Struthio camelus: one gene and its partner. The protein of the gene in region 2 binds, or shares a complex with, the protein of the main gene of each other region. Links are inferred from orthologs where the notes say so. Each region holds a gene or a part of one and is shown on either strand. Other genes may lie near its edges. The genes, in order: ADAP1 and KIF13B.

Region 1 (14,233 bases), on a different chromosome or scaffold from region 2:
TTTCTGTGGACAAAATGAATTGGGGGAAGGCTGAATTGACCTTTCTAGCTGTTTGGCAGCTTTCTTCAGGCCATCATTTCTAATCTCTTCCTAGAGAAAAAACACAGCTTCGGTTCCGCCTAATGCTTTATTCAAATCACAGCTGAGCAATGTTACAGAAAGCGATGTGGTCTCAAATGTCTGGTCTGGACAGGCAGCTGAGGGCAGCAGTCTGTGATACAAGACTAATTGATGGGCCCTACAGTTGCAGCAAGTTTTCGCTTTTCCTCTGTGGCCTTTTAAAACGGCCCATCTTCGTTCTGAGGAACTTGAGCTGCTCTGCAGAGATTTCCAGACCAGCAGTGATCGGTTGGGCTTCAGCTCCTTTCTCTCTATCCCAATAGCCTCCTCTGTCATCCTCTTTGCTCTGGGTCCCTGGCTGGTGCAGCCACTGACTCCTAAGTCCTCCTGAATGCACAGTAGTTGGCTTGCTTGCTCTAGGTCGGTCCCTGCCCTGCAATGAGACATCACGCGGTGCAGTCCCCTGCTTGAATGTCTTTGAGCTGTTCCTGGAAGGATGAGGCATTTGAACAGGAAGAGATTACATTATTGGAATTGAGCAAAAGCAATTTCCCTGATAAGTGCTTGCCCTGCGGTTTGCACGTTGAACCTGTCCTGGTGCCGTCTCTGACTCAGATTGAATTGATGATGGCCAGCTCTGAATAATCACTCTGACTTTTCTTGGATGAGCTGATACCCTCTGACATATGGATCTTTTCACACGTGTGTTGGTTTTCTCCATACGGAGCTTTCCCAGGCCTGACTCTTTTCATTAGTATAAATCAGGAATAATGCTAAAAGCAGTGGTGTAACACTGGTGTAGGTGAATTATTGATTGAATTATTCATTTGTCTAATTTCATCATCTTTTTTCCTGAGAGCAGAAAAGAGCCCATTATTAGGAGGGGATTTTCTGGCAGTGTAAATCAACAGAGTGCCAGCCGTGTTGATGGGAGCTGCTGTGGAGTCGCACCAGTTCCCCCAGCTGCCCTTCTATGTCATATTTTACAGCATATGAAATGGGTTCAGTACAACAGTAACAGGATTGTCCCAGGGAGTCTTTTCTTGTGCTGAGATTTCCCTGTGTGCTGTGAAGCAGACAAATACAAATATCCAACATCCTGAGGCTATCAATTACCTGGCTGAGGAACTCCCTAGGATGTCTCTGGTCTTCCAACTACCCTGCCAGAGTGACTAAGCAGCCCGTGTGACTGTAAAGAAGAGATTGCCCTCCCCTGCACCGATTCCCAAATCCCTTGATTTCTGCAGTGAGACTGGCCAGAGCACAGGCAGTGGGAAGAGCACCCTCAGGCTGGGAGTAGAAACAGAAAGGCCCTGTTGAGCACATGACAGACGGACTCTAAAAAGTGGCTGGGGCTACTTTCCTTTTCCTGGCGATGTGGTTGAGAGAGAGCAGGCCTCAGCCCCAGGACGTCACAACAGAGGGAGGACAGAAGCAAATAATCGGGTTTGTGATCAGCAGTGGTCACAGCAGACTGAAAAATAGTGGCAAAGTAAATCAGCAGAGAGATTGTGCTCTGCCCCTCCTTCCTGTTCTCGCTCTCCCTGTTTCTTCTGCTGTGAAGAAGAATTCTGTGATCTGTTGTGCGAAACTATTAAATGATGGGAGTACCAAATTCTTTTTCAATACACCTGACACTGGGCTTAGGAGCAGAGTTAGCCAATATGCAAATGCAGTGATACCCTGATCTGCAAATTACTACTGCACAGCAATGCACTTTTAGAGCTGCACACCACCTTTTCCTCTTTGGGGTCTGGTGCAGGTGCAGAGCAGCTCTGCGAGCACAGAACTTAAGTGTGTTATTTTGGCACCCTTGCATCATTTTCCTTTGCGTTGTTCTCTTCAATTTGATGGCACTCAACACATGATAACCACGCAGGCAGGTGTGTGAAGTGTGCTTCACACAGGGTTGCTGCTGTATGCTCATAGAGAAAGTTGGTGTCAATGCCTGATTTTCAGTTCAGGCATTTATGACTGCCCTGCTCTGAGCCCTCTCTGCTCCTTGGCATTCCTCTTTCCCAGCTGTAGTCAGTGTCTAGATTTAACTGGACAACCCAACAAATATGATTTTTTTAAAGAACAGCCTCTGTGACTTCAGTTTCTTTTTCTTTCTGTTGAACAGAAAACCACTGAAACTAGCTGCATTAACATGGCTGCAGGTGGTCAGTGCTATGGCTTTTCACGCAAATCTCCTGCTGTAAGAGCTGCCTTCCCTATAGCACGGAGGAAGCATAAGGGATCCAGTCTGGTACATCTCCTCCTCTGGAGAGTTTTGCTTGTATGCAGTTACAGGGGCATGAATTCTCGATATTTCTGTTAGGGTTTGCCATGCACACAGGAATTTGTAATATTTCCCCATGTTACACTGTGAATGCACTCCAGGGTCACCTAAACGGTTGAGTTTAATACCCTTTTACTTGTGTGACTGTGACACTCATTTAGCCATTTCAGGATTGGGGCTGCAAAAGTAACTAAGTAACAGTGGAAATGGCTCTTTCATAACAAAAGAGTTCCAGGGTGAAAATAGGTAAGATGGAGGGGCAAGGAGAAGTTTCATGGTGTCATCACAAAGCTGATGAAAAGATTTCCAGGAAGTTTTAAACATTCTTCGCCCTGACCTCACAGGCCAGCATTTCCAAAGGTATCAGTCAGTCTTGGCTGCCGCTGTGCTTAGCACTTTGGGAGATCGCATTAATAATGTCCATTTCTAAGACAACAACCTTGCGATTTAGAAAAGACAGAGTTAAAAGCATGCATGCGTGTTTACATACAAACATATTTTATATATGCATATATACATATTTATATACATACGTAAAAAGAATTATTTCAGACTAAGAGAGTCACTCAGCAGTGGAGAGTCAGAACCCATCTGAACAAGGACAATGCATTGACAGACAGTCTGGTCTCGGAGCAAAAAGCCAATCTGGCTTGGCCAGAGACCTTAGGAGAAATAGGAGCAAATTCACAGAACGCTCCCTAAGAGATCATACCCACAGACTGCTCGAAAACATGGTGAAAAGCTCATAGTGACTTCCCTGGTGCTGGATCCTACAGGTACAGCCTCACGTGGACAAGCCTGAGCAGAGACTCCCACCTCTCTCCAGCCTTTCAGCAGCCTCTGCGAGCCCTCTCAGGTCCACCTTCCCCCTCTCCACGACACCCGATAGTCAATTCTGAAGCTGCCCCTGCCCTTCCTTGCACAAATGGCAATCGGGAACTGAAATCCTGAGGAGCCAGTGTCGATTTGGAGAGTCTCACTGCATGTCCTGGATCAACATTATGCTGATTGACACCGATCAGGAATAACTGTTACTACCCGTCCAGTTAAGCTTGGATAAACCAGGGGTGAATCTACAGTGATACCCTTGTTGTATTCATAAGACTGAATCAAGCCTTTGGTTTTCCACTAAACAAAAACTTGTTTTCAATTCTGGCTGATTCGGTCCTGTTCCAACTTTTCTCCCTCGCTCCATGTCCCCTCTACTCACATGTGTTGTTTGTTTCCTGATTTGAAGTTTGGAGAAGGATGTACGCTGTCATATTGGTGTTGTGGGGAACTCTGTAATTGTGATGGGACTTAAATGATGAGGATTGCTGTTGATTGATCCTTTCTGGCCTCTGTTCTCCACCGCGCCTGCTCAGCCTGTCCTTTATGAAACACCCCCTTCTCATCATTGACAACAGGCTCCGTTAGATTTGATTTTATTACAAGATATAAATTTCTGTCTGCAGCCCTGGTTTCCAGCATGCAGAGAGGAGAGAGGGATTGCCTAGCAACCAGGAGAACAAAAAATTAAGAGAATCAATAAGACTTAATGGAAAGCAAAACAGAGACTTTAAAGCCAATCTCCCTCCCTCCCTCCTCCCAGCCCTCTGCCCCCAGGAAGTTCATAATGACTTGCAGTATCCCAGCTATTGCACGACAAATTTGGCAAGTGCACACGCAGGTGCCAAGGGAACCGGGGCTGTGGTGTGACTGAAGGGCAAATGAAAACCCAGCCTCCTAACTTGGACTTAGGTAAAGCTCCGATTCTGTAAGCATTTACACTGATGAGCAGTTCCTCAAGCTTGAATATGACATGTTTTTGGAAGATTAGAGCTAACATTCTGTGCTGGAGCCAGTTTTACTCACGTGCTTGGGTCTTAGTCCTCCCTCAGTAGGAGTTTGAAGTCAGCAGCTTTGCCCCAGGTTAGTAGTAACGATCTGGAGATTTAAGAAGGTAAAGTCACCTGTCTGGGGCCCAAGCCGAGGACCTGGATGCTGTGGCCGCAATTCACAACAACAGGACTGCGTGTGGGAGCAGGGGCTCCAGCATTCAGCCTTTGGTTAGCACGGGAACAAGTTTCCAGATGCCATCAGCCCACATGTGGAAAAACAGAAAAACACAAAACCCCGAACACTGCATAACGCTGCACAGCACTTCCGCAAGGAACAGTCTAACGTCAGCTTAAAACAATCAGAAATTAATTCAGTTAAAATCAATTGTCTGACAGTATAAATGGCAAGGTCACTTAGGAAAATGTCTTCCAGATGAGAGGAGTATTTCAATCATATCAGGCCATGATTTTGCATCCATGTAAAGATTATTTTCTTTGCACAAAGTGTTCCCTGGAAGCTGAGGCACCGCTCACACCTGTGTTATGTTTGCAGGATCAGGATTGGGATTTGGTTGTGGAAGGAAATACTTGGCTCCCCCTCCTGCCAACGCTGGTGCAAGCCTTGAGCCTTATGAGGAGCGTTAACAGCACGAGCAAAGCGCTGCAGAAGGGTGTTGTTTTGGCTGAGGAAACAGAGATGGACGATATGAACGGAGGACTCGTGTCACAAAACCAAAATCAGTTCTGTAACCATCGATGAGGCACAAATAACTCGGTCATAGTGGCGTCGTGGATATCCGCGACCCGTCCTGGAGAGGAAGGCTTCACCGGGGTGAGGGCAACAGCCTGCGAGGCACAGCCCCGACCTCCTGCTCTGCCCGTGGCTTCCCACACCGCCCCACCGCCTCCGTCTCGCCAGCCCTTAGCTGATGACACGGGGACGGCAGCATTTCCCCGCGCGCAATGGCGGGCAGCGAGATGGCCGCAGCCCTCGCCTCCAGCCAAGGATGGGGGAGCCGGGCCAGGCCCTGGCCGGCCTCAGCGCCGCCATCTTCCCTGACACGGCACCGCACCGAAAGCGCTGGCGGACGCTTGGCCTGAGCGCCGCCATCTTCCCTGACGTGGCACCGCACCGAAAGCGCTGGCGGACGCTTGGCCTGAGCGCCGCCATTTTCCCTGGCGTGGCACCGCACTGAAAGCGCTGGGGGACACTTGGCCTGAGCGCCGCCATCTTCCCTGACGTGGCACCGCACTGAAAACGCTGGGGGACGCTTGGCCTGAGCGCCGCCATTTTCCCTGGCGTGGCACTGCACTGAAAGCGCTGGGGGACACTTGGCCTGAGCGCCGCCATCTTCCCTGACGTGGCACCGCACTGAAAACGCTGGCGGACGCTTGGCCTGAGCGCCGCCATCTTCCCTGACGTGGCACCGCACTGAAAGCGCTGGCGGACGCTTGGCCTGAGCGCCGCCATCTTCCCTGACGTGGCACCGCACTGAAAGCGCTGGCGGACGCTTGGCCTGAGCGCCACCATTTTCCCTGACGTGGCACCGCACTGAAAGCACTGGGGGACGCTTGGCCTGAGCGCCGCCATTTTCCCTGGCGTGGCACCGCACTGAAAGCGCTGGGGGACGCTTGGCCTGAGCGCCGCCATTTTCCCTGGCGTGGCACCGCACTGAAAGCGCTGGGGGACGCTTGGCCTGAGCGCCGCCATTTTCCCTGGCGTGGCACCGCACTGAAAGCGCTGGGGGACGCTTGGCCTGAGCGCCGCCGTCTTCCCTGACACGGCACCGCGCGGAAAGCGCTGGCGGATGCTTGGCCTGAGCGCCGCCGTCTTCCCTGACACAGCACCGCGCGGAAAGCGCTGGCGGACGCTTGGAGGGAAAGCACCGCCGAGGGCTGGGGACGGAGCGGGTGGCCGCTCGCCCCTGCAGGGACGCGGGGGAAGGAGGGGCGCTTGGCAGAAGTACGTGGCTAACGCTCAGCGCTCCCGAGTCCCCCCGCCAAGGGCGACAACGCCTCAGAGCAGCCCCAAAACGCCGCTCGCCCACCCCCCCGGGCCGCCCCGCTGCCAGAGGGCGGCTCCCGCCCCGCGGCCCGCAGCGCCCCTCGCCGGCAGGCGCGGCCGCAGGTGGCGCAGGCGCCCGGGGCCGCCGCGCCCGTCAGGGGCCCCGGGGCGGGGGGGGGGGGGGTCGGGCAGCCCCTGGGGGGCGGCGCTGAGCGGCCGCCGGAGGTCGCGGGGAGCCGCCAGCTGCCGGGGCTCGGCCCTGCCCGGCCCGGCCCGGCGGAAGGCGGAACCGGCGCGGCGCCCAGCCGGGCGGGCAGCTCCGGCGGGGCGAGGAGGCGCCCTCGGGAGAAACCGCCCCGGCGCGTCCCCGCTCGGCGGCGGCGTGGCCCGCCGGAGGCGTTCACCTTGCGCGGGGCGAGCCGGGGGCCGCATGGAGCAGCCTCGCCAGCGCCCCCCGCCCCGCGCCATGAAGCTCATTTAGCCGCGGCGGAGCCGAGCGAGGACGCGGGGAGCTGAGCCGAGCGCTGCCTGCTCTCGCCGCCTCCATGGCGAAGGAGAGGAGCAGGAAGGCGCTGGCGGAGCTGCTCCAGCGGCCGGGCAACGCGGCGTGCGCCGACTGCGCCGCGCCGGGTAAGGGCGAGGAGCTCCGCGGGCGGCGGCACCGGCACCTGCACCTGCCGGCCCGGCCCTGCCCTCCGCCCGCCCGGCCGGGCGCCTCGCCTCGCCTCGCCCGAGGCGGCGGCGTCCCGCGGGCGGGGGGGGGCCGTGTCGGCCGGCGCGGAGGGGACCGCGGCGGGCGGGGGGGGGCCGCGCTCGGGCGGCGGCGGCGGCCCCGGGAGCGCGAGGGGAGGCTGCGCTGCCTTGGCCGGGCGGGAGCCGAGGGGCGGCCCTGAGCTGGGGCCGGAGCGGGACTCGGGGAGCCCGGCCCAGGGGGATGCACTGGGCCGGGGTGCAGGGAAGGGGGTGCAGTGGGGAGGGATGCGACGGAGTGAAATGAAAGGAAGGGGATGCAATGGGGAGCGATGCAGCAGGGCGAGATGCAGGGAAGGAGGTGCAATGGGGAGGATGCAGCGAGGTGGGATGCAAGGAAGGGGAAGCAGTGGGGTGGGATGCAATGGGGGGGATGCAGCAGGGCGAGATGCAGGGAAGGAGGTGCAATGGGGAGGATGCAGTGGGGTGGGATGCAAGGAAGGGGAAGCAGTGGGGTGGGATGCAAGGAAGGGGAAGCAGTGGGGTGGGATGCAAGGAAGGGGAAGCAGTGGGGTGGGATGCAAGGAAGGGGAAGCAGTGGGGTGGGATGCAAGGAAGGGGAAGCAGTGGGGTGGGATGCAAGGAAGGGGAAGCAGCGGGGTGGGATGCAATGGGGGGGATGCAGCGAGGTGGGATGCAATGGGGGGGATGCAGCGGGGTGGGATGCAAGGAAGGGGGTGCAGTGGGGAGGATGCAGTGGGGTGGGATGCAAGGAAGGGGGTGCAGTGGGGAGGATGCAGTGGGGTGGGATGCAAGGAAGAGGGTGAAATGGGGAGCGATGCAGCGGTGTGGGGTGCAGTGGGGAGGATGCAGTGGGGTGGGATGCAAGGAAGAGGGTGAAATGGGGAGTGATGCAGTGGGGTGGGATGCAGCGGGGTGGGATGCAAGGAAGGGAGTGCAGTGGGGAGGGATGCAGCGGGGTGGGATGCAGGGAAGGGGGATGCAGTGGGGAGGGTGCGACATCAGGGCACCCAGGCCTAGCCCCAGCCAAGGCAGGGGGAAGGGTATCCCCACAGCCCCCGCAGCCCAGCTCCACTCCCAGCTGTGGCAATGCTGATGTCATCCCAGGCTACTCCAGCAGGTCTCCGTGCCTGCGATCTGCAGTGCAGACCGAGCCCTCCACATGGGTGACACTGACATTTAATTAGCTTGCGAGGGTTTCCAGGCGAGGAGCGGGCGGCTGGTGGGTGCTTGGCAGGCAGGGAGCAGGGCGGTCGGAGCTCAGCGAGGGTGGGCGCGTGGTTCCCGCTTATGCTTTTCATTATTGTTGCCTTGCAAACAGAGCGTGGCTTTTGTAGCTGCTCCTGCCGTACCAGTGAGCAAACAGATTTAGGGAACCAAAAGCTTTGCCATGCTGCTTCCTGCCTGTCAACCGTTGACCAATGTGCCATAGATTTATGCAGACTTTACTCGCTTTTTAATGCGGTGGAGATGACCGTGCTAAAATGTCCATAGACCTGCTTGGGCACAGAGGCTGCAGGGAGAAAAAATCTGAACACGGCACGTTTGCCTTGTCCTTTGCTTGGGTGAATTGTTGGGGTGCAGGTGTGATCATGGGAAAGCCTAAGTCTTGTGGAGCAAAGTGATGCTTAGATCTGCATGGTGTTACGGGACTTACCTTTGAGAAAAATCTTACAGATTTGCATAGCAAGTAACTCTTTTTTTTTTTTTTTTAAATCACCATACAGAAGACACTAAAAATTTGTATTAGCTTGAGCAGGGTGGCTCTAAAAGAGATGCAGAGAAGGGATGTCCTTTTCCATCTCGTTCTGTAGGTTTAAAAAACAAAGCAAAACGAAAAAACGACTTCAGCAGAACCTTATATTTCTGTGTGTGGTGTGGATTTCTTTGCGATTTCAGTATCTATGGGATACTGTCATCCAGCTTGTGCCATCACGAAGGGTTTATAAGCCTGATCTGTGTTTTGGGGAAAATGCTGTTGATCTTCAGACGCCTTGTGTCCCCTGGTATCTGGCTAGGGAGGACAAAGCACTTTCTGCACAGTGTGAACGGCTTTGCAGTGCTGTGCGGCCCTGCCTGCTTCCACTCCTGTGCTGGCGGCGGCGGCTGCTGCGTAACTGCGCCAACCCACCTCTGACTTACCTTGCCGAACGCAGCCTGGGCTTGCTGAATAGGTGTCTCCTTAAATTGCTCCTTCTTGGAGGAGACTTTACAAGCCGAAGCCCTTCAGATCAGTGGGATAATTCTTTCTTGCGCTATGTGTGGTGTAAAGCCCCTCTGCAAACTTTGAAGTTTCTCAGCATCAGCAGGGTCGAGATGAAGCTGTAGGTCAGTGAAATAGCTCATACTGAGGAAAGGTTGTGGTTTAAAGATGCCAAATGGGCTTGTAAAACAACAAAGCCGTATTTTGCTTTTGGTGATGCTTGCATGCAGAGATGTCTTCAGTAAATTTGAAACTTGGAGAGGAGAATTTGGCCCAATGTCTTTTGTAACACAAGATCTGCTGTATTAATACCATCCAGCCTCTCTTTTGAACTGTCACAGGGCTCTTCCCCTGGCACTGGAGTTCTGTTGTTAAATGGCATTTCTTTAGTGATCACTTTGCTTCGCTTTCTTTGACAGATGCTACTCATGGTGCTGTCATGTGCTCCTGTGCCTGGGAGTGACAATAGACTTGAAATGCCACCCCCAGCTACGTTTTCAGCTGGGTATCAAGTAACCCAGGGAATAACAGACCCATACCTTGTACCTGCAGCGTAAGCATGAAATATCCCTTCTGAATTCAGGTATTCATCCTGGTGTAAACGAGAACAGCGATTCTTGCAGCCACTCCAAGGGTGTGCGCAGAATAAAGGGGTGGGAATAGCAGTGTGTCCCTTAGCTGGGATCTCTCCCATCTGCGAACATCTTTATGCCCGTATAGATGAGGGATCTCGGGACTACTTCCTTTGGCTTGCAGCAGCCGAATGGACAGGCACAGTCATGGGAACTTCAGCCCCGTGATAACTGGTGTCCCAAGAGCTCCAAACTGGGATATAAATATGTCCTTAGCAAAGGATCGGGATGCACAGAAAGTTAAAAGTGAGAGCTGGAGCTGGGTGGACAGCTGAAAGCAGGAAAAGTACCGAAGCAGAGAAAATAAAGTGAGAATGAAAGAAGAGCGTGGGGGGGGATGAACGGAGGATGGGAAAGATGGTAGTTCTTGTCCTTTCCCACGTTTCATGTGCCATCACATTGCTGGTCTGGTGCAGCTGGGGTCAGGATCCTTGATTTATTACTACTTCTAAAATGGATGTGATCCTTTCCTTGAAATCCCAGAGCTAATTCAGGACCCATGATAAGAGGTAGCCATTTAGCCAAGCGATACTGACAACAAAGAATAGAATGGGTCCAAAATATAAATACAAAATTGCTCTAGTAGTCAGTCTCTTCAATTCTGTGTATTTGGAAACCAGCTGGTTTTTCTTTTGCTCTTGGAAATTTTTGTTTCAAAAATCAGCCAGTCAGTGGACAGTTTTTCTCTTATGGGAAGAATTTTCTCTCTTCTCTTATGCTGTCAGACTGGGTTTGTTTTGTTCCTGTTTTGGCATTTTGATGGGGCTCAATAGCCATAGCCCTCGAGGAATGACTTGTCCCCATTATTACATGGTCATGTAACAAAAATGTGGGTTCCTGCTGCAAAAGAGCCTGCAGCTCAGCATCACTGTGACTGAGCGGTGACTGTGCAAAAATGCAAACCCCAAGATGGAGAGGGAGCAGCAGGAGAGTGAGTGCTTTTCCCTTAGACTATGTGGGTAACTTTGTGTCCCACAGGATCGTGGAAGACATCTCATAGCTGGCTCCTCGGTGAGATCTAGGTAAAACTTGCTTATTGTCTGGACTGGACCAGAACCTGCTGCTTAAATAATCCTAATTAAGGGCTACAAGTTCCACGACCAAGACTGCCGTATTTGAGATTTCCATTGCCTTGGTTTGTCCACAGAATATTTACACTTGTATCTGCATGGAACATGATGTCAAATCTGATGCTCAGGAGGACCAGGTCTATGCACTGTGTGTTCCCCAGGACCAGCGTGTATGCCTGGCAGGAAAATCTCAGCTGCAAGAGTGAGGCTTCCAAAAATCCTTGCAAGTGAGATTTTGAGGGCATATCTCAGGTATAGCAAACAGGCTTACAGTGGCCCTGGCTGTGGCAGCTGGGAATGTAGAAGGACGGAGAAGTAGAGACTGAAAATCAGAGTGGAAGAAGATCTAAGAGGATGAATTTCTCATTTGCAGGGTTTGTTGTTTTTTAAAAAGTTTTAGTTAATTTTTATTAATTGAATCTTTACAAAACTTTATTTTGCAACAAAAGGCTATTTTGAATTTTAGAAGAAATTAGCTGCAAAAACACTATCCATCTGAATAATGAGACTGCATTAGCTATAGCTTTGAGACTGAATTATGAGGTAGAAGCCACTATAATAAAGTTATTTGAGGCACCTGGCACTCTGTCATTACATATTTCTGTGCTGGAGTCTGGGTCTTGGATCCTGGTTTGCAATGTGTTTGTTTTGGTGGGTTTAAAGATGCGCTTTCACCGAGGAAGACAGCATGTTAAATGCAGTCCTAAGTGCAAACTGAGCAATATCTCTGAATTGCTAGTGTGTAATGGCTCTTGACGTATTAGAATAACCTTTTTTCTTCAAGACTAATGTGGCAGTTGCGTTTTTTTTCTTTCTTTCTTTCTTTTTAATGATTCTTTGTCTTAGGCAATTTTTCCTCACATCCTGAGATGGATGGTTATCTCAGGGGATAACAAGACCTTACGTATTTCTCTCTCTACTCCATTTTTCTATGACTTAGGGTAGTGTTTCCACTGAGTGAGAATCATTTTACGTTGTAGGACAAGAGTGAGGCTCTGAAGACAGAAGTGGAAATCCTGTCAAAGCGATCCTGTGGTTTAGACCCTCCAGCAGCAGTTTTCAGTGGCTTGTTTATATTGCTTTCACCTTTCTTATTTGTTCAGATTACTGGGACGCAGGCCCTCAAAGGAGAGTGGTTCAACACTGACTTCTCTGTTCTTCCTCCATCTCCCATCGCATCTGTACCTCACGGACAGAGGGGCAGAAGGCGAGAGGTGGAGGGGCACCTTGTATCAGAGCGCCCTTGTATTGCAAAGCTGGGTGTATTTGGCCTTTGGGTGTAGTAGTGTATATAAAAGCCTGTGAGGAGGTGTACAGCTGAGTTTGTTCCCAACACCTTTCCTGCAGGCCCAGCATCTTCTTATTTTTCAAGTAGGCAAAGCTATTTCATTCCGCTGAGTTTATGCAATAGAGGTGGTGATTAGAGGAAAATACATGTGTGCAGGGCATTGCTTGATCTGCTTTGGATTAAGGAGGACATTGAAAGGATTTGATCTTAAACCTCTCCATCCCCTATCTAATCACCAGTCCTGAAAACACAGATTTGCAAAGGAACTGCTTGAGTCATCAGGTCGTATCTCTTGCTGTCGTATGCGATGACATCTTCTAATCCCCTCCAAGAAGCGATGGCGCTCTGTCTTGTAACTCATTCTCTCTTTTGCCCCCACTACCTCCTACTGGAAAGCTGTTCCAGAGCTTTGCTGCTCTAATGGCGTGAAACGGTCTTCTCATTCTCAAGCTAAATTTGGAAACTTGTTCCCGCACCTCCATTGTCCTCTAACTTAAATAGTTCTTTTTCTTCCCTGGAGTTTGCCAACTCTTTTTCCCTTGGCGTACACAGAGCGAGGAGAAAAATTCCCATCATAGTTGTTTCCCTCGATTCCACGTTCTGCAGAGAAGAAGGCTCTTTGAAACAAAACATGCTTCATGTGACTATGCTTTCTAATAGTGCTTTAACCGACAATATGTCCTTTCCTAATTCCTAGGCTTGTAGTGCTGTTGTGGTTTGCGGACAGCAAGCAGAGGGGGCTGCTGAGAGCTGACAGCTGAATAAGAAGACTTTGGCATGTTTAGTGCCTCCTCTGAGAAATTTTCCTACTTAGTGAAGTGTTGATGGGAGTCTGTTTGGCTTTAGTTTTAATGTCTTTTATTGTTATGTTTGAACATGCATGACCGGGGCCTGTTCATTAACCTCCTAATCTTTCCCCTGGAATAAATAGCAACAGAAGTTTAGTGGTGGACGTGAAGTTCTCCTGCCTGTGATATTAAGTAAAGCCTTAGCCTTTTCTGCTTGCTGTTCAGCTGCTGTTGATTTATAATGTTGATTCTACAAAAAATCCCATGTTTACATGCATGTAGGACATACATTACCTTCCTAGTACAGGGCAAAAGAGGTTTTGCCTGCCTAGACAGTTCCTCCTTTCCCCTCCAATAATTCTTTATCGTTACGGCTGTCACCTGGGCAGGGGGAGACAGCGGTACTTGCTGGTGGATGCGTTCACGGGATGTTGCTGCGCATTCACTCCATGCTCTTGGATACTTGTCTTGGCCAGGCCTGCAGCAATAACTGTGGTTTGAGAAGGGAATAGGTGGAGGGGGCATATGGGTAACTGTGGTGACTCTGCGTTTGAGTTCTTGTTCTTGTCTTGCGGGTACTTTGTGAGTCTGCTGTAGGTCTGCTTTGTATGTTTAACTCAGGCTAATGGCATTTAGGGCTTTAGGGACGGAAAGTTTATATCCCTGAGTTTCTATTCTGGATGGAGGAAAGAGTCATTGTAAAGAACTGTATTCCACTGCCATCCCACCTCCAGGTTTTCTCTGCTCACCTTTTGCTTTGTATAAATTGTCCTAAATCTTATGTAGGTTCTTTTTGTTTATTACTTTCTGGTTCTAGCCTTTGTTTCTTCTTTCCGCTGGCTGTTCTTATGTTTACTAATGCTAGGCTCAAGCTGCAGAGTTTGTTCTGTGCGCTGGGTTGTTCTTGGGCCTGTGGTAGCAAAAGGGGCTGGTTGGGGAACTTAATTTCTGAATTCAACTCTGTTGCCCAAGTGTTTCAGTTTTGGTTTGGCTGCTTCTGTAATCTCTAGCTGTGCCTTCCTTTTCAGATGAGCAGGATGTAAAAATATAACCCCAATGTCCTCCTTCTGAGTCTAGTTTAGCTTTGGTACTTAGTTGTAAATGAAATTACGTCAGGTTTTTATTTTGAAAGTCATTGTAATCTGTGCGTAAGCGAACAGAAGTCTCTACCGCGTTCTGCAGCAAAGGCACTCTAGAACCGGCCTGAGTCGTTCTGGAGCGACGGTGCCTGAGGATAAGTGACTCTCTGCGCTCGTGACAGCGCGCTCTGTTTAATATTCCCCTCTACTCCCTGTTAGTCTTTATTCCTTTTGGCTTGGTATAATGGAATAAAGTCATTTGCTTGGAACTTAGGAATGCTGGAGAGTTTTCATTA
Region 2 (15,302 bases):
TTATTACTGCTAACCTGCTTCTACTTTCAATCATTGCGAAGCGAGCACAATCAACTACTCATTTGCTTCATCAAATCAGGAAACTAATCAGCTAATTGCTCTTGGAAAAATTAAAACTAGAACTCCCATCATCTCAAGAAAGATTTATCACAGAGAAAGAAGCCGCTTTCAGAGCTTCAGAGCAAGACAACTGGGATGTCCATAATAAAAAGGTAGCACATATCTAAGTCATTTTTCCATATTTATATTCCCTAGCTGTAGAAGCCCAGCAAAGCTGGGTTGACTGAGAATAATTGTTAGGTCACACATGTCCAAGCTACTCTCAATCTCCAGGCTGACTTTTTACTTTACTTGACAAACTGGAAGCTGGAGAATGAAGGAGCCCACACTGCTTCCCATTTCTTTTGATTGCTCAGCTCCTCACAAAAGAGGACTTTTTCTAAGACAATAAAAACTGGAATTCAAGTGGTGTAGATCTTAGCTGAAACCATACTCGTGTGCAAGTCCCAGAGGACTAAGCCTTCGATAAACCACACATTAGCCACATACACTTTTGGCTTTTGCACTAACCTAAGAAACTCAGCAAGTTTCAAACGAGGTGGCAAAAGTCAGTAGAGAGAGCAAAGCCAGGCGCAGCGTACCACTGCGTGCAGAGGTGGACACAGCAGGCTAGCGAAGCGTTGGTATAGTCCCAGTGACAGATAGCAGTTTACATTCCCTCCCTAATAGCAGTCAGGCATCTGGTAATCATAAACTCAGTAGAGCAGATTTTCCGCAACAGCGTTAGGAAACACTAGTGAGGTAAAACTTTGAAGTAGTGCTAAACAGATCTGGGGCAGAGACAATCGGTATATTTGAATCCTGGTGGAAGGCGAGAGAAGTGACAAAAACGTTGGACAATTTCAGCTCTAGAAAACCTCCACCTTTGTCTGTGGGTCAACTGAGGAACCGTCTTCACAGATTAGCTCCAAATAACGACAGCAATGGTGGGAATACCCAGCCCACTCCAGTATGGGTGCTGAATCAAGCACAGAGGCATCAGATGGCATAACAAAAATATCTGGATCTCCATGCAGTGAAACCGGAGGTTTTTTGACAATATCATAAAAAGTCACTACACCTCTAATGTTACTATATTTCAGAACCAAACAAAACGATACGAGTTGATGGCCTGTACACAGCAGTTTGAAAACAATCTTTAAATGAAAGATAAGCTCATCTACAATTTATTAAACTGTTAGTCAGGACCACGGCATCATAACAGCCTCTAGACCAGCAGCCAGAGTAAGTGAAATGTTTGTTGTAATATTTTTAAACACGTTCCTCTTTATACGCTCTACTTTTTCACATTGTATAAGACGAATTAAGAGAAAACTTTTCTCATTTCATCCAGAGCCTTTATTTCCATGTAATTTTTTCCCCTCGGGTTTCAGTTTAAGCTCTTCTTTCTGATGGCTGACCGTTTTCCAGCCCTTTCAAAAACTACTTGAGCACAAATTCCACTGAAATAAAGATGTGAACCCGGCGATATCACACAGCTCAAACAAAATTTGTGATGAATTTCTCCTGAACCCGCTACCAGGTTAGGGCAGCTGCACTGACACCTAAGGTACCCTCGGAGACAGGACATTAGCTTAGATGGACCGTCAGTGAGAACCAGTACGGCTGTTCTCACAGTTTCACAAAAGCTAATGGAGGTGTAATAAATAAATAAATAAAGTGGGAAAGGTTTAAAGGGGATATAACAAGCTCATAAGTCAAAATTGGCCAAAAACACAAGAACTCAAAATGATATCTTGTAAAGACTGAGATGACAGAAATTTTATATTTAAAATTGCCAGTAGTGGTTTGGTTTTTTTTTTTTTTTTGGGGGGGGGGGGGGGGGGGGAAGATTAATACTCCCTTGAAGGTTAGAACCAGAACGCTGTGGTGCTATCTACCGCATGGCAGCCTCGAAGTTGCATGGAAAAAGAAAGTACAGTCGGTTTCTTGTACCTTTCTCAGTTTGAAGAAGCAAGTAGCAGGAACACTCAGAAATGTTTAAACTCTATTTCAAAAATATTTAAAAGCTTATTTATCACACACAGATTAAAGGAACACCAACTAAAAAAAAAAGGCTTATTTCTGTTTTTTGTTTTTGTTTTGTTTTTTAATAAAAAAAGCTGGAAGCAAGTTCAAATACCACATGTCCTCAGGTCTCCCAGCCAATGTTTGTTGCTTTAAAGTGACTTTTCTCTTTGCCCTTTGCTATAGGGAAGCCAATACAAACAAGGGAAAAACTAACTGACTGCACAAGAGCAAGCGAAACTAACCTACACCTAACTGGCAGTGCTAAGAAGTAAAGCTTAAAGGGAAAAAATACAGTGTGAGCAATAGCACTTTCAGGGCATTAATTTAAAGCCACAGTAGCTTAAAAATTCTGGACAAAAATACAATAATTTGACTTCTCCCTTTGTCTACCAACATGAAATTTAAGTAGACATCCCTCAAGCTTCCCTGCTACACATAAACTGTGCAAATATCATTCATGAAATTTTCAGTTTGCAGCAATTAAAGATCATCAAACATGCATGAGTGCATCTGGAAAGGCACACAAAACTATCTAATCTGAATGACGAAGTATAAATCAACTCAGCCTCATGAGCACATCGAACACAGGCAAGCTCTCCTCAATTGTTAACACTACATAGTCCAATATGTAAAAAGTTTATTCTATCTTCTCCCGTTTCATTTAACGTGAGAGCTTGGCCGAATGGCTTTAGTAAAGGCGTTCTCTGCCTCTGGACATTAACCCTACCGACAGTCATCGCTGCTGCCGCTGCCTGCGTGGCTCATTTTACAAAGACTTGTAAATGAATCAATCTAGTAACTTTCTGACGCAGCAGAGAGCTCTGAAGAAGTTCAACGTGCAAGTCCTCCGTGCTGCTGCTTTGTTTCAAGCTTCAAAGTTAACAGGAATGAAACGCGATAAAGTTTGCTCTGCCACTAACAAACCAAAAGCCAAGGCAGAACTATTCGCCGAGAGCGTATCTGATCTTTTTGTTGAATTCAGGAAGATCAAGCAAATGTGAAACCAGAGCAGCAAGGTAATCTCACACACTGCACTTAAGGCTAGCTCTAAAGATGCAATCAGCACAATTGTTTGCTTTTGTGGCCTCCACACTTGACAGAATGGTAGTCTCAGGCTCGCTGGCAGTAAGCAGTAAGCTTGTAACACCTTAGGAGTTCTTAAAATACAATTGCATCACTGAGGAATGCAAGATAAAACACTAACTTTACATGCCTTACCCATTTGTCACTATATCTCTAGGTATGAACCACTGTTTATACTGCAAGGACTATGTTATATGTTATCAAGAGGAAATATTAAATACTATATTTAGCACTCGTTTATCACAAGGAGCCTAGTGAAAAAATTCTTGCATTCTGCATGTTGTCATCGGGATATAACAGGTGCCATTTCATTTACTGTAATACCACCATTAGTCTTATAAGACTACGTGCACAAACTCCAATTTACAGATAATTCGTTTCCGCTGTAATCTTCAACGCAAAAAAAAAAAAAAAAAAAAAGCAAGAACCACCACCCTTCCCACCCCGCCAAAAACCAAAAACATTTCAAGGGAGCGGGAATGCAACCTCCCCCAAAGAGTAGGACAGAAGATTAGTGCCTAACACAGTGGTCAATCAGTACCGAAGTAAATGCCTTCCTTATGAGCACCTTGTGACAGAATTTTTATCATCCAAGCACAGAAGAATCCTTTTTGGAGCACACAAACGAGTCTGGATGAATATCCAAATTAACGCAGCAGAAATCTGAACGTACATTTACAGGCAACCTAGCTGTTTAAACTGGAAGTCACATGTCCGTAACGCCACAATCCTATGACCAGTTTAATCTGGCAGCGCTGCCACAGCGCAGGCTGCGGCCCCGGAGCAGCACACCCACAGCTCCGCTCCCCACCTCCCCGGCATACCGCCGCTGCCGCCCTCCCGGCCCAGCCTTGCGCCAGCACCACGGCCACTATTATTCCTCAATAAATCCGTTCAAAGCACGAAACGAACTAACTACACGCTTCTTGCGGTTAGTTTTCCGCCTTTCTTGTTCAAACAGAAAGGCGCTGGTGAGAGGCAGTAGCTGAAACCGGCTGAAAGTGTCAGACCGTACCCTTGAGCGTAAGTCTTTTCCTTTTTTTAGTACCACTAAAAATGTTATACTCTAAGTAATGCTCCACTGAATTGATTCAACCGCATAGACAAACACACGGACTTAAACACACTATACTCATGGGCTGCCTCTACATCAACATCACCTGCAACCAAAAATTCAATAAGACAAATCTCAATTAAAAAGCTACAAGCTGGCTTTTGCTTTGCTTCACAGTGACATAAGAACTCTGCTCAGCAGTTGTGTAACGTAAAATAAATATCTGCTAAATGAAACCAAGCACTGACGACATTTGTAAAAGGAAATCCACAGCAACTCTAAAACACAATAGCAAAAGAAGTTACTGATTGCTATCAAAAACCCATGTGAAAAAGCTGTGCATCTGGAAATATTTTCAGCAAATGTTGTATTGCAACTAAAGCAAGAAAAGAGAAGACCCTTAAAAGTCTTATTTAATAGACCAATGCTGAATTATTTACTTCATAATAGCTCGCTAATCAAGATCCCAGTCTTCTAAGTGCAAAGTATACAAAAAACAAGTTACGACTGCTACCCAGAAGTGCTTATAACTTTAGACCTGATGCTGCAGGTGCAATGACACAGAAACTGTTTTACAAAAGCATGGTTTCCATACAGTTTGCAAGTCTGGGGCCTAGTTTCAAATAAAATGCAATAAATAACTGAGGTGGAACTATGAGTGTTTCCTCTCACTATTAAAAATTAGTACTATACGCTTACCTTACAGATTGCCTCTTCGAACGACACTGAAGCAGGGCCCTCTATACTATCGCCTTCAAATGTGAATACTATAAATAACCAACTATTTGATACAGAAATCCTTTCAACATGCATGCAAAGAACCTATTATACTTTTATGAGCTGTATAAATTAGCAATAGCTAAACATACCACTTTTATTAAGCTAATAAACCCTTGCCTTAAGAAATTCATAATTCAAACACTAAAGACAACCACCACTACCACAGGCAAACACTAAGAATATTTTAAAGGTTAAATCTCTACAGTTGTGGCCATCTGACAGGTTTGCAATTTTAAGCCCTTCGGTGCGGAAGAAAGGAAAGAACATTACTCATGACCCTGAAGAAAACAAATACTTGCTTCAGGTCCAAAGACCCAGATTTTCATATAATGTTATTTAAAAACAAAGTGCTTATTACAGAGCTTCTAAGAAAGCCACCTCTTGCCTCAAAGCCTACTAAAAATGCAAAGCCACAGAAGTTTCACAACTGGATAATTCTTAAGAAAATCATCTACGCAAATTCTTAAATATAATATTAATTCAGTAATTCAGCATTATATTGCTGCTTGTTACTGTAAATTCTAGGAGCATCGGAAATATTGTACTGAGATACCAGCTGTTTAGAACTGGCCAAAATATGTGGATTGTGACAAATAGCCTGCTTAAAAAATTCAATTACAAGGCTACATTTGAGGGAATGAAAAAGACTTTGACCTTTCAGGCCGGACTTGCTTGGACTTGGGTATTACTCACAAAATACCAGGATGCTTAATGGTTACTAAACGGATCTTACAGAGAGGAGGTATGCCCTGACTGCCAAGCTATGCGCGGGGAGCACAGGGCTTCGAGTCCCTCTTCTCTCTGACGTACAGCAAGCGCTGAAACTCAAACATCCCTCGCTCTTGGATGAGCCTACTAATGACCAGGCTACAGATGTTCTCCACATTTTTAAGTTTATACAGAATAAAGCAGCTCCAATAACAAGATACCCACTCCCATTCCCCCAGGTTTGTACAGCTCATTGTCAGGGCTTTCCCCTAGCAGAAGTCTCAAATGGCTACCCTGCCCTAAATCTAATCTTGCGTGTTTTTACCCACTCGCCCCTTACTTCTATTGCTTCTTCCTCACAGATACTTTCTACTGACCTCAGCCCCTACCTGAAAACAAGCTGAAGACCAGCGCACGGACATAAACTAGGGGCTGAGCTTACGCAGAATAGCAACCAAGAGGGACAGGTTCATTACTCACTCTGGGACGTTCAAAACTTGACCGGACAAGACCCAGTGCAACCTAATCTAACTTGATCTGCTCTGAGCAGCAGGATGGACAAGAGACCTCCACAGGTCCCTTCCGACCCGAATTATTGTACAGGTCCGTAATCCCGGGAGTGAAGAGCCCAGCGATGTCAGGATGGTGTCTGGGTCACAGCCAAGGGAACGAGCTCTGACAAAAAGAGGGACACGAGCAGGAGGAAAGCCCACGACTGCCACTGAAACAAGACGCCACCTTTCAGGGCCTCTTCATCCCAGCTACCACGGAGTCCTCCTCACTGTAACGCTCGTTCTCCTCTCACCAGTTCTCCACGAGGAGGACGTCGGTCCTCCCTCAGGTTGAGGGCTGCTGCCCGAAGTCTGACAAAAACGCAGATCTGAACCTGGGTCAAAATGCCCTCGATTACCCTAACCCACTAGGCTATAAGGACATCAACTCTGCCTCTTCTATTTTTGGGTATGGGACTCGACACCTCTCGTGAACTTAGCCTCACATTCCTCTGCTTTTCATTTCAGAACATCTGGAAATGCCTTATTTAACAAGCTTAAACTTTTTTTTTTCTTATTTATTGAAAAGAAGTTAAAGACTTCTTTTGTTTCATATCACGTAGAAAATAACAGGGGTTGTTTCCTTCCTCCCTTTTGGTTCAGCGATTAAACTGCCTTCGCTTTATCCCCTCTCCCCAAAAGGAATTATTGGCATACCTCTGTGGGAAAGGGGGGGGGGGAGAACTACATATTTCTTGGATTTTTGCCTTCTTCTTCACCTCCCCGTTCCCTGGCAATACTTCCCTTTTCATACTCGTTTCCTCGTAATCTAGAGCAAGTTTTTTCCTAATTCAGAAAAGGAATAACCATTAAAACAGATGCTCAGACCACGGTACGGATTAACGTAACCCTGAGGCAAGTTTCGCTGAGGGCGGGGAGGGAGGGGGGAAAAAAAAAAACCCAAACACACACAATTTCTCTTGTCAATTCATGCATCCTCTTCCATGTTTTCTTGGTTTTGTCCTTATAAAACCTCCGCCAACTACGTCCCGCTCGCGCACGGAGCGGTCGGAAGAGGGGTTACAGCGCGCAGGGCTGAGGAAAAAAAAAAAAGACACAGAAAAGGACGGATTTACCCCCCCCCCCAAAAAAAAAAAAAAAAAGAAAAAACAAACGGAGAGACAGAGCAGGAAGAAGGAAGAGCTCAACCTTGTGAGGAGGAGGGAGCAGGGGCACAGCCCGGCTGTAAAGCAGGTGCAAGAGGTGCGGAGCGAGGTGAAAATAGACAGAGAGATAAAGAGAGAAGAAGAGGCATCAGCGGGGGGCGAGCTGAGGGGCTGGCGGTGCGCTGTGAGGAGCGGGGACGGGCGGCGCAGCCCAAGGGGTGTGAGGGGAGGGGGGGGGCCGCCCAGCCTCACCCGCAAACACACCTATCAATACATAGGTACACACACACAAACACCTCTACACGACACCTACAGACACGGGGCGGGCGGACACAGCGCTGCCCCCCAGGGACGCGCGCCCCAGGAGCCTCCCTCCCCGCTCGCCCCTCCGGCCCCCTCCCCTCCCCCACCCCGAGACCCGCCACCCGCTCGCTCGCGCGCGCGGTGGGGGAAGGGGGGGGGAACCAGTCGCGCGGGCGCGCGCGCGGCGCTCACCTCGCCTGTTCATGGGGCGGACGCGCACCGCCACCTTCACTTTGGAGTCCCCCATCGCCTCGCTCCTGCCCCGGGCTCGCTCGTCCCTCCTCGGCTTCCGTCTACGGAGGGGGACAGCCGGCAGCGCGGGGAGGAGCGCGCGCGCGGGGAGGAGGGTGTATGTTGGGGGGGGGGGGAGGGTGTGAAACCAAGGGGGCGGTGGGAGGGAGGCAACCGTGCGTGACCGACGTCCGGCGGGACTACAACCCCCAGCGTGCAGCGCGGCGCCTCGCCCCTCCCGCAGCGGGGGGGAGGTGGTGCGGCGCGCTGCATGCCGGGAGTTGTAGTCCTGCCCCCTCGGCTCCGGGGGGGAAGCATTGCATGCTGGGATATGTAGTTCCCTAAGAAAGGGGTTTTTTTTTTGGGGGGGGGTGGGGGTGGGGAGTGAGCCCCAAAATGCTGTTTTGTGGGTTGTGGTGTACAGCCGGGAGCGGACACTCAGGCTCAGGGTGGCCTGTGAGTCACTTCACGCCGTGGGGTAACCCACGTCGCAGCTCAGGCCCCGGCCTGCCGTCTCGGGGTGAATAAGCCCGTATTTCGTTCTGAGCGGAGAGCGGTATCTGGACAGCTTTTCACGCCGCTCTCAGGGTTAAGCTCGTTTCTCCTGCCTGTTTTCCCTCCCCTGTCCACCTGCAGCACCCCCGCTGCGAGCGCCTGAGCGAAACAATGACGTCTGTCACCGCATCACTTCCCCTGTAGCAAAAGAGGAAAAATCAAAAGTAAGGTTTTTTTCCACCATCTCTTTTGAGCGCTGGGAGGAGTTCAGACAAAGATGGGACTATTTAAGTCTACGCCGTAATGTTTGACCTGGAAGCCAGCGATGCTTATTTAATAACTTCATACGAAGGCTAGGCAAGTTCTCCATGATAAAGAGCTGCTCTGCGATTTCCGTCCGATTATAATCACGTTACATGTCACGTTACAGATGACGAGCCATAACCCAACGCGCAGCGCGAGGTCTCACCGGCGCCGGGGTCTGACTTGGCGGAGCAATCATCATCTCCCTTATTCTGTCAAGGCACAGCAATCGTGTCGTTAACCGGTCCCTTGCACGTCGCTTAGCGGAGCCAGTTCGTTAAAAGAGCTCAACAGCGATAATCAGAGATGAGGCGAACAGTATTAGAGCTTCTCCACGTTAGGCGGCTCAACAGTTCAACCCCGTCTGCTGCTCGCGAGGACCAAGAGCGAAACCATAACCCAAAGATGCAAAAAGCTCATTTAAACAGTCACGGCTGACTAACCTTGTGGTTGCTATTTGAGTTCAAAACAAGGATTCTCTCCGCGCCGTTTCGAAAGGCCAAATTTCAGCAAGGGCAGAAAATAAACGTCCAGAACCATAATCCTGCAGCCCTTCAGTGTCAAAAACTGTCACAGGGCTTTGTCCCTGAGTGGCAGAAAGAAAAAAAGAGGGGGAAAAAAGAAAGAAAGAAAGAAAGAAAAAACCCACATTTCCAAATGGTTTTAAGGTAAGATTTTGGTAGGTAGCATTTTTTGCCCAGAGGGACTGGACTCAACATACGATGTGTCATTTCACACCTGGCTGACCTGAAGAATATCTTGTCAAGGTAGAGAGAATACAAACAAAAAGCCTGCATTTAACTGACACTAAGCTTAACGCCCACGTTCTTAAGAAGAGAGCCACAGCATCCCAAATGAACCCTGGGGTGAGAAGTCATCCTGGAGGTTGGAGGAAAAAAGAAAAGAAAAAAATGCAGCGGGTCAGGCCAAGCAGGGTGGCAGAAGCCCCAAAATGAGACTGGATAGTTTGTACACACTGGCGGAAAGCACCGAATCCTCGGCGTGCCGGGTGCGCGCTGCAGCCTTGCAGCTTTGTGCCGCGGGAATCGTACGGCTTCTTACTCCGAGGCGGACAAGCGGGACGTCCCGCTCTCAGCCTGCACAGTTGGCTCTTGCACTTGTGAGCTTGCAGATCCAATTACAGGATGAAACCAGGCTTTGAACTTCTTGTGGTATTTTCCAGCTGGGGCCTCAGCAAACCACACCAGCATTTTCTGAAACTTGGTTCCTTGCTGCTGAGATATATATAAACCCCACTTTACAGCTGAGGACAGTGAGCAGCAAGTGGAGGTAGTTTTACGTGGGGTTGAGTCAACTGGAATCTGATTTAAATAAAAGAAAAGCACACTTGCCGGATGTGCGTGCTGCTGCTCATAGCAGGTGTGACCCAAATGCAGTCCTTCCTAGGCATCCTTCTCCTCTGCTATCCGTTATATGTAAAATTAAACAGTAAGTTCTTTGGAAAAGGATTGTGTTCCGGCTTTTTTCTTTGTTAGACAAAGGTTCCAGCGTATTTTAAGTACATGCACAATGGTAAGCGCAAGTGTTTACTTTTTACAAGCTTTGCCTCAACTTTCTACTTGGAACGAAGCGTTGAGTTTAAAAAATTGGAAAAATCTCCCTTTCAACCTCAGTTCAGTTTTAATTGCCACAGAGAAGCTTCAAAGTCCCCCATCTTTTATTTAATCGCTGCTATTTTCTGCAAATTCAGGTCTCGAAAAACTATCCCCAACCTGGACGTCCTTTCCGGTCTCATCCGTGCGCAGGAGTGATAATTCCTCCCAGCTATGGGCCGTGATGCCTGGGGACATTTCCTTTACGCAGCCACCCTCTCCTGCGATGAATTACAGTAATGCAACTTGTCTCGCGCTGGCACAAGCTACCCCGGCGTAATTACGCGCCGCGGCGAATTCCTCGACCTCGACCAGGCCTTTCCCGAGCTGTGGGAAGCATCTCCCCGGAGGGGCACAGCTCGGAGGGCGGATATTGTTTCCATTCACAGCCTTGGGACATGCTAATTATGCTGGGAGGAAAGGGGGGAATGGCAATATTCACATAGGAGGGACAGGCTGGGCAAATAGTTTACGAAACGCCAATCTTAACCCCGCGGTCTTGTAGGGAATTGTCCAGAGCTCTTTTCCCCCTTCCTAGTTACTGTAATGAGGGGCTGACTTCCCAGATTAGCTCTGGCTATTTAAATGCTAATTTAATTAACAAAACATCCTTGGAGGGGAAGGCATTACTTGTCCCTCCCATTCATTTATCCAGTTCCTGAATGCAACACTGTTTTAATCAGGTTGAGGAGCCGCAGTTATGGCTATACCCACCTGGACATAACAGGGACTGAAGCTGCGACGTAGAGAAGAGAAATTCAAGGTCCTTGATCTCATTTTTTTATAAGCAAGTAGGTAAAGACGGATCATTGAGAAGCAACCAAGTCATAAAGACGTTGTGTGTCCCGCATCGCTGGTGTGCATGGGGTACACCTATCAGCAGGCGGAGATGGAGGAACTTGGCTTTCATTTCTCTTTAGGCAAAGGTATGACTGAGTTACATCTCACATCACCTAGACGTAATTATATCTCATGGCAGCCTTTGGGATGTCTCTCCTTCCAAACTGCAGCGAGTGATAAATCAAGCCTATTTTAAACCCATTTCTTCATTTGTGGGAAGTGCACATCAAAAGAGACGCATCAATTATGAATATGCTGTAGACCTAGTTTCTACCCATAAATCATTCAGGCGTTGGAAAACTAAAACAGAGCATCTTATCAGTGTTGAGTTGTATGGAAACTCTTAAGTATCGCAGGGGTCCATTTTTGGGAGAAGCTGGGCACCACTGGCATAGTCCCTGTCCACAGCAGGAGGCATCCAGAGCACCCAGCAGCCCTGCAGCTCCTTCGCGTTGTCACGGAGCAGGTCCTCGGCACAAAAGTCCATGGAGAGACATGCAAAAACTGAGATTTGTTTTTGTACATTTTTCCTAGTTTTTTTTTTTTTGTCCTTCTTCTGGGAGAACACTGGTAATTATGTCAATGCTGAGTTTGATCCTAATATGCTAATTTGTCTTCAGGTTTATCTTGCTTTTCCATCTGGAGCTATGAATATATAAATGTAGTATAACTCTTGTAGGCAGTTAAAGGCAAACAAAGAAGACGAGTTTGTCATAAGTTTCTTTCAGCTATAATCCAGAAAGAAGGCACCAAGGGAAATCAGTATTAAGAACCGATCAAAGAGTCTGGACATAAAAGAAAATAATTTTCTCCAAACCGCTTGTGTCAAAATCCTGTTTACCATCAACACTTCTGTTTTTTTAAAGGGATTGCTAGACATCTCTCAAGCCACACAATTTGTCCAGTTTTGTGGGTTCATGTGGACTCACATTGGCACAGCACTTTTTGTGTTCCTTTTATTAGGAACTTTGTGAAATCAAAGAGCTGATAGTTTCATAGTTCAGAATTTCACTGGTCCTGGGACAGACTTTTGTAAAGGCGTTTGAGCCTGTGGCCCCCTGCCCTCACTGTGAAGCGTGTGCACAAATAAATGGATTCCTGAAGTCCTGTTGCAGTACTAGTTTATAACACGGGGTAAAGGTGGAAACAAATTTTGTAGATGATCATGCTCCCCCCCCCCTTTTTTTTCATAAATTACTCCAAAGTTCAAAGTCCTGGCCATAAATTTCATGGGGTTGTAGGACATAACACCAGCCTGTATTACCCGGAGGGAAATCCCAAATCGATAGCCCTGATGGCAGAAAAATCCCTGCAATCTGCCCTGTTTATGGCAGCGAGATTTCCCGCAGCCACTTCGCCTGGGATGCAGTGGGATTTCCATACAAACTCATGCTCCTGAAGGCAATCCAGAGCCCTGTAATATTAGTGATTTATGTGCTTGTAAGATGAAGCTGCAGATGTTTCTGCTGCCCCTGCGTTGCCTTTTGTCCAAGCAGTTCTTTTGTTAACTAAAGATTCAACGTTGGGTTTCATTTATTTGAAAAGAAAATAGATTTTCTGTCTTTAGAGAAAACGAGAATCTCTAGAGAACTGGAGACATACAAAATTATCAGGAGAATGTGTTTAGCGAATGCCAGACAAGCTCGCAGCCCCAGAAAGGGGAAAAAAAACGCAGTGCAAAGACATTGGCTGAGACTCCAAAAAGTGGATATTTTCGAGTTGTGTAACACTTGTAGCTTTTATCTCCCAGCACTTTTGAGATAAGATACATGATCTGCGAGGACTGAACTGCCTTGCCTGCAAAAAGATTGCAATATCTCATAGCTTCAGTTGCTGAATCATGGTGCTGTTGCTGCACATCTGCAGAGAAGAGGAGCCCTGCAGGAGCCAGATTTCTGTTGTTCCCCCTGTCCACACTTTTTTCCTTCTCTACTTCCCCTCCCTCCAGGACTGGGACAGATTCAAAGCTGGTCCCGTTGACCCAGACGCCCCTGGACACCAGAGGAGCTCCTAATCCAAACCCAGACCTAAATCCCCAGCTGCATTTACACAGCTAAACGGTTTTATATGTTTTGCCGGTGTATAGCAAATAACGCTGTGGGCTAAAAAGCCAGCTCCAGATTCCCCTAGTTTTAATGAGCTGATGATTTGATGCTGAAACTTGGGGAAAAATATGATCAATGGGGATGTTGCTTTCACCGCCAGGAGCTGCAGAACTTACTGATAAAGTGGGTTTTTTCACAGCAGCCAAAAATCCTTCCTGACTCTCTAGACAAGAGTGACACCCGGCGGCTAAGGAGCAAAGGAGAAGCAGGTCTAATTGTCGTGTTCCCCTTTCCTGTCCTGCTTAACTGATTTTTTTCCTGCTGCTCCCATGGCAGGAGCAGGGGATAGGGAAGCGCTGGCCTCTCCTTGCTGCGTGAGCCCCCGTCCCCTCGCTGCCCTCCCTTCCCAGGGCCGGCGCGGTTGGGGTGGGGGCAGCGGGGAGAGCAAAGGGTTAAAAACAGGGGGGCTCCTTTCACCTTGCACCCACTAAGTATTATCACATATTATCACACGCTGAAGAAATACCATTTTTTACTGCAATGGGCATAAAACTAATAATTACCTTTAATTAATTGGTTGGTGACAGTCATTGCAAATGAGTTAACTGCTGCAAGTTAAGTGTTTTAAAAAAAAAATAGGTAGAAATCTCGTGTAGTGTACACATGCGCAGTGCAGTATTGCACTGATATTGAATAATGATCCCAAATGATCCCCAAAATGATCCCCCAAAGACACAATACTGGCATTAATATTGATGCACATACGGTCTCTTTATGTGTTATCTTAATTCTGAGCCTGTGTTTCAAGGCTTTCCCCCACGATCGGAAGGGCTAAAATTTTACTTTATTTGGACTTCATTTTGGACTTGTTAAAAATGAAAATGGAAAAGCCCAGGTAATTACATGCCTTGCTGAGCTGAGGCTTTAATAAAATGTCAAGTGTGGGCAACGTACTGCTAAAAGCTGATTTCGTGGGCCTCTTCGGAGAATGTGCCCATCTAACCAGCAGTCTGGCTCCTAAATTACAAGTCCCTGCGGCATTTCCCAGGTGGTCCAACCCAGACATTACATGTTGCCTAAGGTACCTATTGATATGCCACTGTGTTATATAAAGGGAACTCAGCTTGGCTGAAATAGGGTAAATTTTTTCTGGTGTTCAGGTCTGACTCCAGAATGAAAAAGTCGCCCAGGTTTTGTAGAGTCTGAATCTGGAATTTGGGACTGCCTGCCCATGGCTTTTGCTTTTTGATCTATCCCTTCTCCCCCTCCATCGTCTTTTCCCCTTCATTGAATGTTGTTGGTGGTGAAGATGTTACAAAAAATGAGATTTCAGAATCATCCTCTCGGAAATACATAGCCCTGAAGTCATGCAGAAATCCCAGCTGGGACTTGGCACACAACCTTGGTCCTTCGACTGTTTCTCTTTCCTTTCCCTGTGAAGCTGGGATAAGAAAAAGCCAAATAAAGGCATTAAAATATAAAGCATCAGAAAGAATCAACCAGTTAGCAATCAAGCAGTTAATCAAGCAAGTCCTAAGGCTGATACAGACTTTTCATGACTCTCATATGTCAAACGACCCTCCTGGAGCACAAGATCTAGCTGGAAGTTCAGCTGGCTTTACCTTAGGGTTGAAGCTTGTGAAGATGTGAAGTCACATCTGTGCTGCGAAACCACCAGTGCCATGGAAATGCAGCTCCTAAGAGGTTGTTTTACAAGTCTGGAAACGAAAGATTTTTTTTTTAGCCTTGTACCAGTCTTTCCGTTTGTGTTCCCTTTTCTCCCTCTGGACGTCATTATTATTCCTACGCGTTTCCAGCGCTTTCTGGATTTTGTTGCCCTCTGCCTTGGTGACAACAAATGGGAAAGCATTCCCTGGGCATAGCACAGCGGTGTTTCCTTTGGTCTTCATGAAAAACATCAGCCTTTGGGACTCCCACAGAAACGATGTGCCCGAGGCTTTGCTTGATACAGCCAGCCTTCGCTGCCTGAAACAGCAGAAGAATTCTCATGGCACGTTAAGCCTTTTCGCACTGCTCCAAGTGGTCAGTCACTGGGAGGCCACGGTAAAATAACTCAAATGTCACCATTAAAAAAGAAACAAGAGAAAGTCCTCTTATTA

What was found.
Region 1: the proteins of KIF13B (region 2) and ADAP1 are in contact, whole or in part, in a crystal structure (PDB 3MDB), measured with the Homo sapiens proteins. The link is inferred for Struthio camelus from reciprocal best matches to the Homo sapiens genes KIF13B and ADAP1. Residues at the interface, in NP_056069.2 of Homo sapiens: Val451, Asn452, Leu453, Asn454, Ala455, Asp456, Pro457, Leu463, Arg512, Phe514, Asn516, Gly517, Arg531, Leu533, Asn536, Asn537, Phe539; in NP_006860.2 of Homo sapiens: Trp137, Asn143, Gly144, Gln145, Phe146, Leu147, Pro186, Ala187, Lys188, Ile189, Gly190, His191, Pro192, His193, Tyr211, Glu213.

What each region holds. Positions count from the first base shown.
Region 1 is NC_090956.1:7,378,001-7,392,233, forward strand, and holds the start of ADAP1 (arf-GAP with dual PH domain-containing protein 1), read left to right. Parts: upstream 1-6,478; 5' UTR 6,479-6,711; coding exon 6,712-6,796; intron 6,797-14,233. UniProt on the Homo sapiens protein: GTPase-activating protein for the ADP ribosylation factor family. Binds phosphatidylinositol 3,4,5-trisphosphate (PtdInsP3) and inositol 1,3,4,5-tetrakisphosphate (InsP4). Regulates the incorporation of CD63 and CD9 into multivesicular bodies.
Region 2 is NC_090944.1:9,918,590-9,933,891, forward strand, and holds the start of KIF13B (kinesin-like protein KIF13B), read right to left. Parts: upstream 8,004-15,302; 5' UTR 7,903-8,003; coding exon 7,848-7,902; intron 1-7,847. UniProt on the Homo sapiens protein: Involved in reorganization of the cortical cytoskeleton. Regulates axon formation by promoting the formation of extra axons. May be functionally important for the intracellular trafficking of MAGUKs and associated protein complexes.